Linked DNA regions of Canis lupus familiaris. The protein of the gene in region 2 interacts with the protein of the main gene of each other region in a pairwise test. Links are inferred from orthologs where the notes say so. Each region holds a gene or a part of one and is shown on either strand. Other genes may lie near its edges.

What was found.
Region 1: the proteins of HOMER3 (region 2) and MOS interact in binary tests that used the Homo sapiens proteins (3 or more experiments, as listed by UniProt). The two-hybrid records come from large-scale screens. The link is inferred for Canis lupus familiaris from reciprocal best matches to the Homo sapiens genes HOMER3 and MOS.

The regions. Positions count from the first base shown.
Region 1 is NC_049250.1:8,008,021-8,015,774, forward strand, and holds MOS (proto-oncogene serine/threonine-protein kinase mos), read right to left. Parts: upstream 4,335-7,754; 5' UTR 1,702-4,334; coding exon 583-1,701; 3' UTR 469-582; downstream 1-468.
Region 2 is NC_049241.1:44,585,364-44,593,052, reverse strand, and holds the start of HOMER3 (homer protein homolog 3), read right to left. Parts: upstream 4,051-7,689; 5' UTR 3,915-4,050; intron 3,809-3,914; exon of another isoform or gene 3,279-3,808; intron 2,934-3,278; exon of another isoform or gene 2,240-2,933; 5' UTR 2,172-2,239; coding exon 2,158-2,171; intron 2,079-2,157; coding exon 1,922-2,078; intron 1,671-1,921; coding exon 1,539-1,670; intron 255-1,538; coding exon 147-254; intron 1-146. UniProt on the Homo sapiens protein: Postsynaptic density scaffolding protein. Binds and cross-links cytoplasmic regions of GRM1, GRM5, ITPR1, DNM3, RYR1, RYR2, SHANK1 and SHANK3.

The DNA of each region.
Region 1 (7,754 bases), on a different chromosome or scaffold from region 2:
GTACAAGTTCAAAATATCATAAGAAATCATTTGAGATATTATTCCTTTAAAAATAGATTTGCCTCAGTTGGTGAATTTTATGTGTGAAGGTCATTACAAATGAGAAGTTTTGGGGGGAGGAGCAGGAAAAAATTAATATCTTTCAAAAGTTTTTACTTGTTTGGTGTGGGAGCAAATAAAATGTTAATACTTTAAATTTAGGTAGGAGTTACAGAGCATATTATTTGAATTTATAGAACATTTTGGCACTTTACAGTGCAGCTCTATTTTGGACAGGCTGGCTCCATCAATAGCAAATTTGAATAAGTACAATACTAGAGAACTATAGCACTAAGCACACTTGCAATGAAAACAAAGCATATCTCTATAAGGGAATAGGTTTAGTTACTAACAATATTCAGCTGACTACCAAATTTGTAGCTGTGCTATTTGTCTTAGAAAGAGCATCTGAGACCAAAAGGGGTTTTAAATAACTTTATTTTCTAAAAATCCGTTCTGCAAATATGTTTTTTTCTACATGGTCACTTCTTTAAAAATGAATAGAAACACAGGCAAAGCTTATCTTGAGGGTACAGGATGGAGTCAGTCAAATTCAGCTCTTAAAGAGTTAAGGTCAACCAGGAGGAGTTCTGCACTTGGCCGCTGTAGAGCGCTGGCCCTCCAGCAGCACTGGATGATCTTCTCAAGTCTTTTCCCAGAGATGGAGTCAGTGAAGACAGCTGCTGACAGAGATGGACGGAGATTATAGGCCACCACAGCGTAGAGCACGTACTGCCGCTCCCCTGAGTAGGGCGCCTCCTTGGTAGCCATTTGCCAAAGAGTGATGGCAAAGGAGTAGATGTCAGCTTTTGGCGTTATCATCTCTCCTTTCAGGAGCTCTGGAGCTCGGTGGGTGTAGGTGCCCCCCAGGGGGTAGGGAGGAGTCTGGAAGCACAGCACGTCTTCCAGCTTCTCTGAGCAACCGAAGTCCCCAATTTTGCAGACATCCTGCTCACTGATCAGAATGTTAGCCGGCTTCAGGTCCAAGTGTACAATGTTTTGTGAGTGAAGGAAAAGCAGGCCTTTCACAATATCTAGGGAATACTGCAGACACTTTCCCAGATTTAATTGCTCTCCGGCACAGCAGTGAGGCTGCACATCCTTCTCAGAGCAGCTTGTGGCACCGTATATGACTTGGTGTAAGGTGACATTGCCACCAAACTCCATGATTATGGTGCCTAGGCTGTTAAATCCCGCAGGTGTGCGTGTGCTTGCAGCCACGACCTGCACGATGTTATCATGGCGAAGCCTTGCGATGTTGAGCTCAGCCCAGAAACTGCGCTGGGATGCCAGTCGGTTCTTGGTGCACTTGTTCACTTGTTTTATGGCCACCAGAACACCATGGTAAGTCGCCTTGTACACGGAGCCAAACCCGCCAGCTCCCAGCCTCTGCAGGAAGCACACCTGTTCCCAGTCGATGGAGCACCAGGCCAGCCGACGTGGTAGCCTTGGAGCCCTGGGAGGAGTGCCACCCAGGAAGAGCTTCCCTGCTTTACTTGGGAGCTCAGAAGGGCTGCTGCAGGGCCGCGAGTCCACCGAGGGAGAAAACTCACTGGGGAGGTAACTGTGCCGGGAAAGAGGTGAGGGCATGGCACCTTCAAAGTGGACCCCAAAGTGGCTCAGGTAAACCAAAAGAAGAGGGTCCCACGAGTTTGGAAGCATCTCTGACTCCTCCTTTGCTCCGCCCAGCGCTTTTCTCCTCTTCCTTCATTTTCCCCAAATGAGCCGTGTCTGTGCTGTTACTCACAAGGGTTTTTATCAGATGAGCGGAAGCAGTCTGAATGAAGTACAATCCTCCTTTTTAGATGAAAATATTTCCCTTCAACACTTAAAGTGACTTTTTATAAAAATAAGCTCTCCACCCAGAAGAGTTCGCCAGATAAACAGCAGTGAGCTGCCTGTGGACTCACCCCCTTTTTCCATTATTTATTATTTAATTATAAAAAAAAACAGCTTTTTTTTTAAGTGTCATCCACTGAACATGATCAGTGTTCAGACTAAAGAGACTATATAGTGCAATGAAATTATTTCACATTTTGCAGGCTATAATGATTGTCAGTGTTATTCTCCAGCTGCATTAAATCACTTCCAGCAGTTATTGGCAGAAATATTTGAAATACGAACAGCTGACATTTGTTTAGCCGATTATGGGGATAATTAGGTGCAACATTCATATATGGATAAAAAATTGTAACCTTAAAGTAATTGATCCAAATACAATCACTAATACAGGTCAAAACATACACCTCCTAAGGTCATCAGGGGAAAGGAAAATTCTCTGACACTCCATTCAGCTCATATAGCAAATTAGCAAGATTTCTTAGCAACATATCGACTTCCTAACAGTCCTGTTCCATGGCAGTTTGGCCCACCCAGTAAGCTCACTTGCAAGAGAGATCTTAGACTTCATGGCAAATGAGTTACAGAAGTTTTGAAACAGAGTTGGGGGAGAAAAAAAATTCAGATTCAGAGCCATAATCAGAGCTTCAAAGAATAACAAATATGAGAGAATCCTAGAAGAGGAAAAATCCGAATAAAAATGGCACAGAATCACCACTGCCTATATATAATGTGGAAACCCAGATGTTAAAAATAAATGAGTCTTGCTACTCAACCATAAGTTCTTTCTTTCTAGTTTTTATAACTCCCCACCTCCCACTAATTTGCATTCCATATTTGAGGAAAAGACCAATAATACTAACCTGTTGATTAAAAAACATAGGAAGGTGTTAGGATCCATATTTTTAAAAAATTGGTAAAATTCTGTTTTAACTTATTGTACTTAGCATATAGGTGATGTTTAACCACCTTCATTTTTATAAAAGAGGTCTGTTTCTGAGATATATTGATTCTGAGAAGATATGTGAATAAACACAAGCCATTTACATAAACCATTTGAAGTCTGTTGGGCCCTAGGGTAGGATTTCTAGTCTATACTACCCATCTGCCTTAGATATTGTGTGTAATATTTAATCTGTTTGAGCCTTGGTTTTTTTTTTTTTCAGTTAAGAAATTAGGATAATAATAAACTTTTTAATTTTGGAATAAAAGTTCGGGAGCCCTGTACAAATAAAGAAAGTCTAAAAATGTATATTATAAAATATATTAGTAGAAAGGCAGTTGAATCAAAACCAAAATATAAAAGAATGACAGTGAAGAGAGTAAAATAAGAAAGTAATAAAATTATATTCTACAGTAAGTCTATTACAAAATTTATTTAATAGTCATCACATAGTTGGCATTATAATTTAGGTCTCCGAAACTTTTATGGTATTAGGAATGCTATATTGATCAAAAGAGTGTCATAACCTTCTTTGCAAAATGATGTGACTTGTTATATAATCTTTATGTTTAAGCTAAGAGCATAGGTAATTCATTTTACAAAGGTTGATTTTATTACTTATATAAGATACAAGGTATTAATGAAAATGTGGCACTCTACATTCACAAGCCCCAAGTTCATTATATCTAGCATCTGCCAATCTGCTCAAGAGTATTTCGTTGAATATCCATTTTAAAACAGCCTCTGGGGCCAGATTGCCTGGGTTTCTTACTATCCTTCAGTTTCCTTATCTGTAAGACGAGGAAAATCTGCCTGAGGACTGCTGTCAGTATTCACAGCAAATACTTAGATCAGGACATGATAAGTAATTCCTAATTGCTAATTATCATTTATGAAACTCATAAAGTGTATATGGGCTTATGCTGTAAGAAACAGATTTGTTAAGACGGTGTCAAAGCGTACCCTGCTGGGCGGCCCCGGTGGCGCAGCGGTTTAGCGCCGCCTGCAGCCCGGGGTGTGATCCTGGAGACCCGGGATCGAGTCCCGCGTCAGGCTTGTTGCGTGGAGCCTGCTTCTCCTTCTGCCTGTGTCTCTGCCCCTCTCTCTGTTTCTATGAATAAATAAATAAAAATTCTTAAAAAAAATAAAAAAGCGTACCCTGCTAGGGCTGAAGTGACTCATTACTTAAGCTAAACCGAAGTCTGACTGGTCTTCTAACTTAAATTTTATTTGAGGTTAGATATGTTAAGAGTATATTGCCTTATTGTTATATACTAGGAATGCAGAGGGTCAACATTTATCTGATCAAATGCAGTCATCTCGTCATAGCAAATAAAGGCAAAGAATATTCGTTAATGACAGGGTAGGCACTGTCTCCTAGAAGTGCAAATGAACCAGACTGGGGGCACCCGGTGAGGAGCAGAAGGCTCTCCGGTTCTTAAAGGCTTTCCGTTTTCTGCTCCGCCTGGCAGCACGCCTGTGGGGAGCTGCGTGGGTTTCAGGCAAGGCTCGGCGTACGCATCCGCAGCTGTGGCGGCGGCGGGGCGGCGGCGGCGGCGGCGGCGGACAGCGGCGGGGCGGCGGCGGGGCAGCGCGCTGAACTCCGCTTCAGCGGCAGACGGGGAGGAGCGCGGCTCGCGGGAGACAACCTCGCGGCTCGCGCAGGGTCTTCCTCGGCTCCGGGGCTCGGGAGGGCGCCGTCCCGCGCGGCCGTGCGCAGGCGGCGGGCACGAGGACGCCGTGGGCGAGCTGCCCGAGGCCTCCCGGCCCTGGGGTCGGCGCGCAGCCTCCCGGGCGCGGGGAAGCACGTGGCCGGCCGTCCCGCCGAGGCGGCCTGTGCCCGGGCTCACTGCGCCCCGCTGCGGCGTGCCCGTGCCCCCTGCGCGCACAGAAGTGCATCTTCGTGCGCTCAGCATCATCACGTAGCCTTCCGGGAGACATCTTTAAGAGGCCGTGCAACTCCAGCCCGCACGGCGCGCCCTCGCCCGCTGACGCCCACGTCGAGCCCTCGGGCCGCGTCTGCGCGTGCGCGCCTCGGGACCCGCCGCCCGGGATCTCCGGTTACAGCCCGACCCCAGAAAGTCCGAAGGCCAAGGAGGGGGCGCCCTGCAGTCCTCGAAGGCTCGAAGGGTTGTACTGCTGCTGTTTGCAAGCATCAGTCGAAGTCGAAAATAAACTTTTGCCTTTTTTTTTTTTTTTTTTTGGAGCTAAAATAATAAGTGAAGACGTGCTTTGCTAAAAATAAAAACTATAAAGTTGAAAAACTTTAAATTTTTTTTTACTTAAGTGGAATTATATTATTAATTAATATTATGAAGTTTGAATTTTATGGTCAGCAAGAATTATGTATGTTCCCATGTCCGTACAGAAGCCTGGAGAGCTACTTTGGTTTTTCTAAAATAATATGCCCAGGGGCAGATCCAGGTTTTGTGGGGGCTTAAAGCTTATACAAACAGAAGGAACCCTTTGAAGGCGTAGGAAGGAGAACCAGACTAGCACTGAGCCTGAGGCGGGGCGCCATCCCCCGACCCTGGGATCATGACCTGAGCCCAAGGCATAGCTTAACCTATTCAGCCACCCAGGCAGCCTTAATTTTACTTTATGTATATTTCCATTCATATACATGACTTTGGCCAATAGTAGTATTTATCAGCTCGTATGTTTTTTGTTAATAAAATTGCTTTCTTGAAACAGATAGGGGTTGATTATGATACAGCCTCTTATAATTTGGGTCAGTGGCAAAAGTTCATTGGCTTTATTTAATATATGCTAAGCTGTCACTAAGTTCTCCCTAATCTATCCTGAATATTAAATACTTAATAAGTTTACTGAATTAAACAATGAATGTGACGAATCTCAAGCTTTTTTTTTAATAGTAGGTTGAATATTGTACATAGTCATATCTTAATTTAGAATCACCAATCTAAACAAATTATTGAATCATACATTTTAAATTAGAGATACAGGCCATCATTCTAATAGGCCAAATTCTCCCACATGTTACAAGTGTATAAAATCTGAAATACACACAGGTTCCCGCTTGCCAGACAGTAATGCTGTGGATTGCATGGATCATGTTTCTGGGTGGAATCTGCACATGCTACCTGCTTCTTCTGTGCATTCACAGAAGTTGGTGGCTCTTACCTGGGCTGTTTACTTGGATTTTGTATTTCGGCTCTTAAGATAAGTATATTTTTACTTCTGTAGTGTTTAACTTCTAATTTCTCTACCTTCCAACTTAACAGGATTTTAAGACCTTAGCAAATGCCTTTCAAATCAGTTTTAAAGATCTTTGAGTTTAATGGTATCTTGCAATTTTTCCATATTCTTAAGACCATAAAATGCTTATGGATATTTGTAATGATATTTGATTGAAATTTGGTGATCTTGAATATCTTTGTTCAACATACAGTTACACCTTATTGGGATCATTATATTGGCATCCACCTTTAAACCAGAAAACACTTTTAAATTATGTTTTTAATATTTACTGAGTTCTGTATCTTTCACTGATAAAGTAAATGAATCAAAATAACATCATATTGGAATAAAGGATTCAGAAGTAATATAGGCTATTAAATTCACCACTTTTATTCAGCTGTATGCCAATTTTTTCTTGTATATCAGTATGGACTCAATGGCTTTTCAGACATTCAATGTGATTTAACCAAATGTAACACTCATTGTCTTTTATTGCTCAAATTAATGCACCCCTGGGTATTAAGGTATTAAAACACTTGTGTTCTTTTGACACAGTCTCATTAATCTGTATTATTTCTCATCTACTGATACAATAAATTGACCCAGGCTTATAACCCGCCATACCCTAGACATGGAATCAGCCATTTCTTTTTTCTTTTCTTTCTTTTTAAAAGATTTTATTTATTTATTTGACAGAGAAAGAGCATAAATAGGGAGAGTGCCAGGCAGAGGGAGAGGGAGATTCAGGCTTCCTGCAGATCAGGGAGCCCAAAGTGGGGCTCCATCCTGGGACCCTGAGATCATGACTGAGCATAATAAGCCTCTGTCTTCTGAGCCACCCAGGTACCCCAGAATCAGCCATTTCTCCAGGGTATCCTGGAGAGATAGGATTAGAAATCATAATAGTAAAGTTTACACATTAGGTTCATTCTCTTAGGCCTTTGACCCTAGCTCATTTTAGCTCATGGAATTAGAAAACATACTTTTTCAAAAAACGTGTTCATATTGATATTTCTAATTCAGTTCTAACATTATAGTTCCTAGTTAAAACATTTTGATTTCATAATTTCCTTCTTATATTTAAAATCTTGATTCTAAACAAAATTAACATAATTACTAATGTTGTCTGACAATTATTAAATAAAGATTAAGATTTCTTTGCAGTTATTTTTATCCTTATACTTAATGCCTACACTTAAGGATGTGTAGTCCAATTATTGTCTGGTAGAGTCACTCATAATAATTTGTTGTGAGTCTATGTAATAATATATAGCATGGCCATATATGTATATGCCATTTGTAATTAGTATGATTTAATTTGTTTTAAATTCTGAGAGGTTATCAGCAATTTTCTTAGAAGGTGGTGGCTTTCAGCCAAGATGTTTTCTTTTTATGTGATATTCAAACCCTGGAGGATGGTAGAAATCAATTAACAGTCTATCTTATGAGATGAAGAGTAAAGGGCAAATCAAGCAAATTAATTTCCCAAATTCTGTATGAAAGTTTCATTTAGCTACCAGCTGGTCTTTTTGTGATGACCAAATGTAATATTATATGCATACGATTCATATATACAAGTTCTGGTTGGGCAACCTAATTCTGTCTTCTATTCAATTTCTGGCAATAGTAGAACCTACATCTGTTTATATGTTCCGTAAATATGAGATGATATTAAAACCTTTACAATTAATTATTCCCTTTTTTAGCTTCCTTACGTAGTATGTGACATTTT
Region 2 (7,689 bases):
TGTGCTCCTGAGCCTTTTCTTCCAAGGCTCCTGCTGTAGGTGGAGTTTTATGGGATCTGTGAGCATTTGGTCCTGGGCACCAGCACAGTACCTGGACCCTCAGTATCAGCTGAGTGACTGGCAGGCATGGGACAGGAAATACTGACCTGGTGGGCAGCGAGCGCCAGGGCTGGACTGGTGAGCTCCCCCCCATCCTGAGATTTCTCCCTCGCCAGCCTCGCTGCTTCCTTTACTTCCTGGAACTTCTCAGCAAACTGGGGGTGGGGAGGGGAGCAGAACAAACAGTCAAAGCCAACCCAGCCCCCTCTCCCAGGGCCTCACTTGGTCACCCCCACCCAGCACCACCCTTGTCACTTTGAAAGGGACTTTAGGAGTCATGCATATCCTCTGGTCTCATGAACTGGAAGAGTGGTCAGGAGGCTTGGAATAAGTTGTTCCAGTGAGCAGACTGAGTATCATGGTGGAGGTAGGATTTAGGTGGACGTGAATTCCATGGAGCCACCTTGAGAAAGGGATCCCCTGGAACGCCTGAGTGGCTCAGCGGTTGGGCATTTGCCTTCGGCTCAGGGTGTGATCCCAGAGTACAGGGGTCGAGTCCTGAATCGGGCTTCCTTTGTGGAGCCTGCTTCTCCCTCTGCCTATGTCTCTGCCTCTTTCTCTGTGTGTCTCTCATGAATAAATAAATAAAATCTTGAAAAAAAAAAAAAAGAAAGAAAGAAAGGGATCCCCTTCCTCTCAGTCAGGCTTATTTCAGCAAGGAGAGCCTCAGGTGGGTGCTGTCTTTAATGCCCCGGACACTTGTGAATATCTTTTTATAACACAGAGAAAGCAGGTCTTGGGCTCAGAGCCTCTGAGAGGCACCTGTACTCAGTGAAAAAGTAAATCACCCTCTTCTCATTCCTACTCTACCTATACCGATTTTCCAGTTAGGGTAGGATACACTGGTTTTCATTTTAAAATAAACTTCTTTAGTTTGAAAATAATTTTTTAAAGAAAATGTTTACACACAGACGGTCACTCGATTGGGGGGAAGAGACCAGTGCAAGTCGTTGGAGGGAAATCATCTCAAAAAACGGTTGAAGAGCAACTAAATACTCAGTGAGAAAAAATACTCCTGCTTTATACCACCCACAGAAATTAATTCAAGACCTAAATTTGAAAGGAAAATGAAAGCTTCTAGAAGCAAAGAGAATCCTCACGATCTCATTAGGAATCAGAAAGCACTACTCATCCAGGGGAACAATGGGATGAGACAATATTGAAGTCTGAAGACAGCAGAGGGTGGAGGGAGGCAATGATGAAGGTAGTGCTAGGGTGTGTGAGGGAACTCCCAGCTCATCCCAGGCACCCAGAGAAGGGCGGGGTGTGTCCAAAATTGGAGCAGATGGCCAGCAGAGCTGAGACATGAGCCAGGGAACCAGGAAGGGTTGTCTAATTCTCATGCCTATTCTACAGCACCTGCCCAGAGGCCCCCAGGGCCCTAAGAGGAACCCCAGGGCCAGCCCTGTCCTTCCCGCCATGTAATCCTGCAAGCCCACCTGGGTCAGATGCTGCTCAGAAGCAAAGCCAAGGCCATAGACGGTGTTGGCACGACTGTCTGCCCACTGCCCAAACTTCTGGGAGGTTTTGGTAAAGGTCATGTTGGGGGTGACGGTGCTGTTGATGATGGCCTGGGAAGAGGGAAGAGGGGGGAACACAATTCAAGCTTGATGAGACTGACAATAATGAACATGAGACCCCCAGGGTGTCACTTTGTATTAGCTCTTGGGAGGTTCTAGGTGTGAGCCATCTCAAGACAGAGACTGATTTAAGGGCTCCTCCCAACCCCCAGCCCCCAGGCACACAGCAGGGTAATGACTAGACCCAAACCTGCCTCTGAGACCTCAGGAGCCTGCCACCCCCACCCAGGCCCTGCCAGGACCTTGGCACCCCCAATGCTGATGATTCGGTAGACATTTCGGGTGGCATCATAGAAGTAGGAGACCGTGAGTGCGTGCTTGCCCGCGGGGATCCAGTTCCGCTTGGTGGCCGGGTCAATCTGGAACACATGTGCCCGTGTGCTGAAGATGGGCTGCTCCCTGCGTGGGGAGACGGTTCTCAGTGGGGCTAGGCATCCCCCAGGGGGCTCAGGGCCAAGCTGGGGAGGCAGGGGCTCACCTGGCTGTGGACATTGGTCAGGTTGGGTTGGGTGGGCTCCAAGAGGCAGCCAGAGGGATGGCAGGAGCTGCGGGTTCAGCCTCTGGGGGGAGAGAGGGATTGTGAGTGTCTCCCCAGGACAGGCTTAAGGAAACCAAGCGGGTCCAACCTCAGGACCCACCACCAGCCACACCATTCATAGAACCTCAATTAGAAAGGTAAAGGAATCAGCAGATCATTCAGCAAAAACACCCTGTCCCTCTCCTTTGGGAGGAAGCCCCCACACACCCTGAGCAGGAGATGACTCTCCGAGAGGAGCCAGGTGGCCCTGGATCTCCCAGCATAAACTTGTCAGCATGCTGGTTACTGAACCCAGAGTGACACCCCCTCAATACTGGTGCTAGATAGAGAAGGCCAAGGTGAACTCCTACTTGGTATTTTCTGCCACATTCACTCATCACTCCCCAAACCAGGATCTCCATCAAAATGTGGCCATCACCAGATGCCTCCTGGGAGACCAGTTCCTCCTAGATCCCACAGAGGGACCCCTCAGCTTCCACTCTAGGGCAGAGGCACACTTGGAGGCAGAGTCCAAATCCCCAGGGAGCTGCCAGCCTAGTTAAGAAGATGTAGTCAAACAAATTTACCCTGGTACCCACTAACCGATTGCCCATGACCACTCTATCCCAATACCATGCAGGGCTGGGTGGCATCAAGGATTGGGAGATCCCCAGCCCCTCTTGCTGCCTCCAGCCACGACCTCACAGATACCAGGAATGGCTGCCCTGGAGAATTCCTTAACCTCACCTCTGTGCCTCCAAAACCTGCATCTGGGGGATCTGCAGGGGACCAGGAGGGACCTGGGGAAGGGAGGTGGCCAGTGGGGGAAGGGAGGCCCCCCGCGGAGCGGCCTCCCTGGTCAGAGGAGGGTTGCCCCCCCACCCTGTCCTGGGCAGCTGCTGCCCGGGTCACAGGGTCTGAAACCGGAGCCCCTGTGTGGGGGAGGGGCGGCAGCGCTGGCCCGGGTTGGGAGCAAGTCCTGGGTCGAAGCAGGGTTCCAGGGTGCAGGGGTCCCAGAAACCCAGGCCCTGCCGGCCCTGACGGTCCTGCCGCGACTTGCAGCTTTGGGGAAAGTTACTCACCAACTAGTCATGTGCCTCGGTCGCCGCCGGCCGCGGGGCTCCCGGAGGAGGCCCGGACCCCGCCCGGTGCCAGGATCCCCAGTTGCGTGTGGGGGCGAAGCCCCACCCCATGCGCCCCGGGCTGGGGGGCCTGGTATTCAGTAAGGAAAGAATTCCCATCCGCGTCAGAATCGGGGCGCCCAGTGCGCTCCCCGACTTCGGGAAGTGCCACCCTCGACCCGGGAACTTCCGAGATTCGCGCGATGCCCCCCGACTCCGGGTCCAGAACTTCGGGGATCCCTCGCACCACCTCCGACTTCTAAATTCCGGGGACTCCCTGCCAGCTCTCCAGCCCCGGGTCGGTGATTTCGGGATCCTCTCGTGCCGCCTCCCAACCCCAGGCCGGGAACGTCGGGGACAGCGCAGCCTCCTCCAACGCCGGGTCCGGAACTTTGGGAACCCCTCGCCCCGTGCCCTCTCCGACCCCGGCTCCGGAACTTCGGGGCCCCTGCGCCCTCTCAAGCCCTGGAACTTCGGGGCTCCCCGGCCGCCCCCAGCCTCCCGGCCCGGAACTTCGGGGACCCCCGCGCCCTCGCCCCGGCCCTGGCACCTGGGGGCCCCCGCGTCCCCCGCGCAGGCTCGGACAGCCGGGCTCACCCTGCGGGCTCGGCGCCCCGCGAGTGTCCGGGCGCGAGTCGGGTGCTGCCCCGCGGCGCCGACTCCCCGCAGCCGGGCGCCCCGCTCGCTCGCTGGCTCCGGGGCCCGCGCCCTCCGCGCCGCCCTCCGCGCCGCCCGCGCCTTTGTCTGCGCCTCCGCCGCCGCCCGCGCCGCCTCCGGTCCCATCGCGGCCGGTCCCGACGCGGCCGCCGCCCGCCCCGCCTCCCCGGGCCGCCGAGGCCGCCCCGCAGCGCCCCCTGCCGGCCCTCCGCGGCGGGGGGGGGAAGGGAGGGGCGGAAGCCGGGAGCGGGGCGGGACGGGACTCCCTGGGGGCGGGGGGCGGGGTGAAGAGCGGGGAAGAGGGCCGGGGCGGATGGGGACAGAGACCCAGACCCAGAGGCAGAGACATGAGGGAGAGACACAGGAGGCAGACAGATGGAGGATGGGGCTTGATCGTCCTGTCGGGGCGGCCCTGGCCCTCGGGGCACTGCCTGAGGTCATGACCTTCTGCCTTTGATGGGAGTCCCTCTCCACCTGACAGGGATCTAGAGGCCGGGGCTCCTCTATCGCACGGAGCTGGGTGCTTGCACACAGTAGGTGCTCAGTGGGTGTAGCCTGGAAATGAAACAGACACAGGCTGGGCGAAAGCTAGAAGAGGCTGAGAGAGGCAAACAGTAGGCACTTAATGAGACTTGATCAGGGGTGCCCCGTTAGGAATCGTTCCTGCCTGACTCCCCCCCCAGCTCCAATCCCCTGTTGGGGAGAGGCTTCTATCCACCTTGTCTCCCAGGAGAGGAAGGTAACAATGCCAACATGGTCGAATTATCAGTATTGCTATGTTATAGGGTCTCAGAAGCCAGGGTAGAGCGAATATTGGGGCCCAGCTCCCACCAATTGTGCAAATCTCCTGGAGGTCCTCAGGCCTGGGTTTGCCATCACTGGTCAGGGGGAACCCTTCAGGCACTTGCCAGGAGAGGGTCCAACTGGAGATGAGCCAGGATCAGCCTCCCCAGGCCAGGGTCTGCCTGTGGGACCCACTTACTTGGCAGTCCAGTGGCTGCCCTTTCTCTGGACTCCTCCAAAGTCACACAGTGCCATCGGGTTCGTGGACAGAGGCACTGCAGCTCCCTCAAACCGAGGCCTACAGTTCCCTAAAGCCCTAAACCTCATGCTTGAGCTTTCCAACAATCTCAGAGATTTTGCTTTTTGCCTTCTCCGCCCCGTCTCATTTCCCTGTTTTTATTTCTGTTTTCCCCTGACCAGAATCATCTGGGCTGGTAGCTATCTTCTAATTACCTTTAGGTGAATTCCAGGTCGCGTCGTTTCTGAAGACTTATTTCCAGACCAAGATGGAGTTTACCTTGCTTCAGGCCTTTGCCCAAACTCTCCCCTACACCTGGAATGCCATTTCTGCTGGTGTATATTTGGCCTTGTCCTTCCAGGCTCTGCTCCACTGGCCCCTCTTGCCCTAGAAGCTACTCTATCTGGGGCTTGGAAGGGATCTCGCTGTGTACTGCACCAGGACCCCATCACTTTCTCTGGGACCCTTCATCCGTATTTTTTTTTTAAGATTTTATTTATTCATGAGAGACACAGAAAGAAAGACAGAGACAGACAGAAGGAGAAGCAGGCTCCCTATGGGGAGCCCAATCCCAGGACCCCGGGATCACGCCCTGAGCCAAAAGCAGACACTCAACCACTGAGCCACCCAGGCGTCCCTTCCCTGATGTGTATTATCTGTGTATTACTTCCATCGTGGCCAGGTCTGAGCAGTCTTTGGAGGACTAGCCCATCCTGGAGCCCCAGTCTCACCCAGTATGAGAGGAACCGCTCACCCCTGCTGGGGAAACTGAGGCTCAGGCTCAGTTTCCCCAGCTGCTTCTAACTTCACAAGGCATCTGCACAAGCAAAGGATTTGGCTTCACTTTCAGGCCTGAAGCCACAAAACGCTTTGAACATTGTGGGGAACAAAGAAAATACCGTCTGTTCTGTGCAAAGAGTGACTTTTCCTTATTACCAAAAAAATAATTAAAAAAAAAATTAAGTAACTGGGAAAGGTGCCGACAGGGCCGAGGCTTCTGGAGGCCACTCAGGGTGTGCTGTGTTGGCCGGCTACAGAGCTAGGGCCATGTGGCTATTCTGTGGGGGTGGCCAGGAGAGGGGCCTAGGCTGACTTTATTCCTTGTGTGGGCAGAAGGCAACAACATGACGGAGAGTGGGGAGTTGAATCACTTCCCTGGGCCCCCCTCAGGGCTCCAGGAGAAGTTGGGATGGGGCTCGCCTTGAGCAGCCCTGACCTGATGTAGTGTCACTCAAGTACAAATTGAGGGAATGGCTTTGTCAGTGTGGACCTCACTTTTTTCACCTGGAGAATGGTCTGACGCTTGCAGGGCAAAGGGGTAGAGAGAGGAAGCAGGAGAATCTGGGGAACACGAGCAGCTCCTCACTCTCCTGTGGGTAGAGACAGTAGGGGGCTGCCCCAAGCTGCCACCTCTACCCCAGCCTGAGGCCTAGTCTGCCTGGGGATGTCCTTATAGAATGGGCAGAGGCCACCACCCCAGGGTGGCTGATAAGAAGCAATAGCTTTAAAAAAAAAAAAAAAGAAGCAATAGCTTTCCCTTGGGCATGAGAGAGGGATATAAGGGAACAAACTTCCTGTCACAGAAAAGGCCAAGCAGAGCCTCGAAAAGTTTCTTCAGCTCTAGGGATGCTGTATTTGTAGAGTGGCTCTTATGGGTTAGATTCTGCTCTCTGCCTAGTTAAATCTGACCCACCTCTGGATTGAAGCTAAATTGTCTCTCATCCCTGGAGAGTTCCTATCCCACCAGATCAGGGGAAGTCTGTCACTCTTTCCCAAAGCTACGTGCCCAACTTCATGATGTGGATGACAGTGGCCATTTGGTTACTGTCCACCTCTTCCATGGTTCTGTCCCCAGCACCTAGATCAAGCCTGACCTGCAGCAGGAACTCTTGAAATGCTTCAAGAAGGAGAGGATCCTCAAGCCCCAGTCTTGGTCCTTGGTGGCCTCCAGAGTCATGTGACCAACGAGTGACTCCCAGCCCTGCCTCTTAAGAACAGTGTGACCTTAAAGAAGCCATTTTCCCTCTCTGTGCCTTAGTTACCCCATGTATAAAAGGGACATAAAAATGGTGCTGAAGTTTACTTTAAGGATCCAACAAGTCCTTGTGTGAAAAGGGCATGACCCTGACACCTTAATAAATTCTGGTTGTTATAAACATTATATTTATTCTTGGCTGTCTGGACATATGCTTTTGATCCTGAGCCAAATTCTGAATATTTTCTGTCAGGGGTTGAGAGATCAACTAGGTATGAGTTTTTAAGGACAGAAATAATATCCAACTTGGCATGATAACTTCTAAATCTTTAGCTATGGGACCTTATATGCTCCTCTAGCCACATTCATCCTCTTTCTCCATGTTCCCTCAGCCATGGCCAGTTGGGCCAGCCACCAGACCTTGGCCTCCTAAGAAGCTCCTATTCATCCCACCTCTAATGCTCCCTTCTCTGAGAAGCCATCCCATGTCTCCCTCTAAACTCTCCCCAACACCCTCCCTCCTTCTGACCCAACTCTGATCCTAGGGACTAGGGGTGTCTGTGTCTAGCTCTCCCAGCATGCAGTGGATGCATGGGGGTCATGGCATAGGAGAACTTGATGACTCAATATTGGTGATGTTTCATCACTCTAGAGAGACCCCACCTTAAATTCAGATCCAACTCAACTTCTGCACAAGGCCAAGGTTAATTCGTGAAACA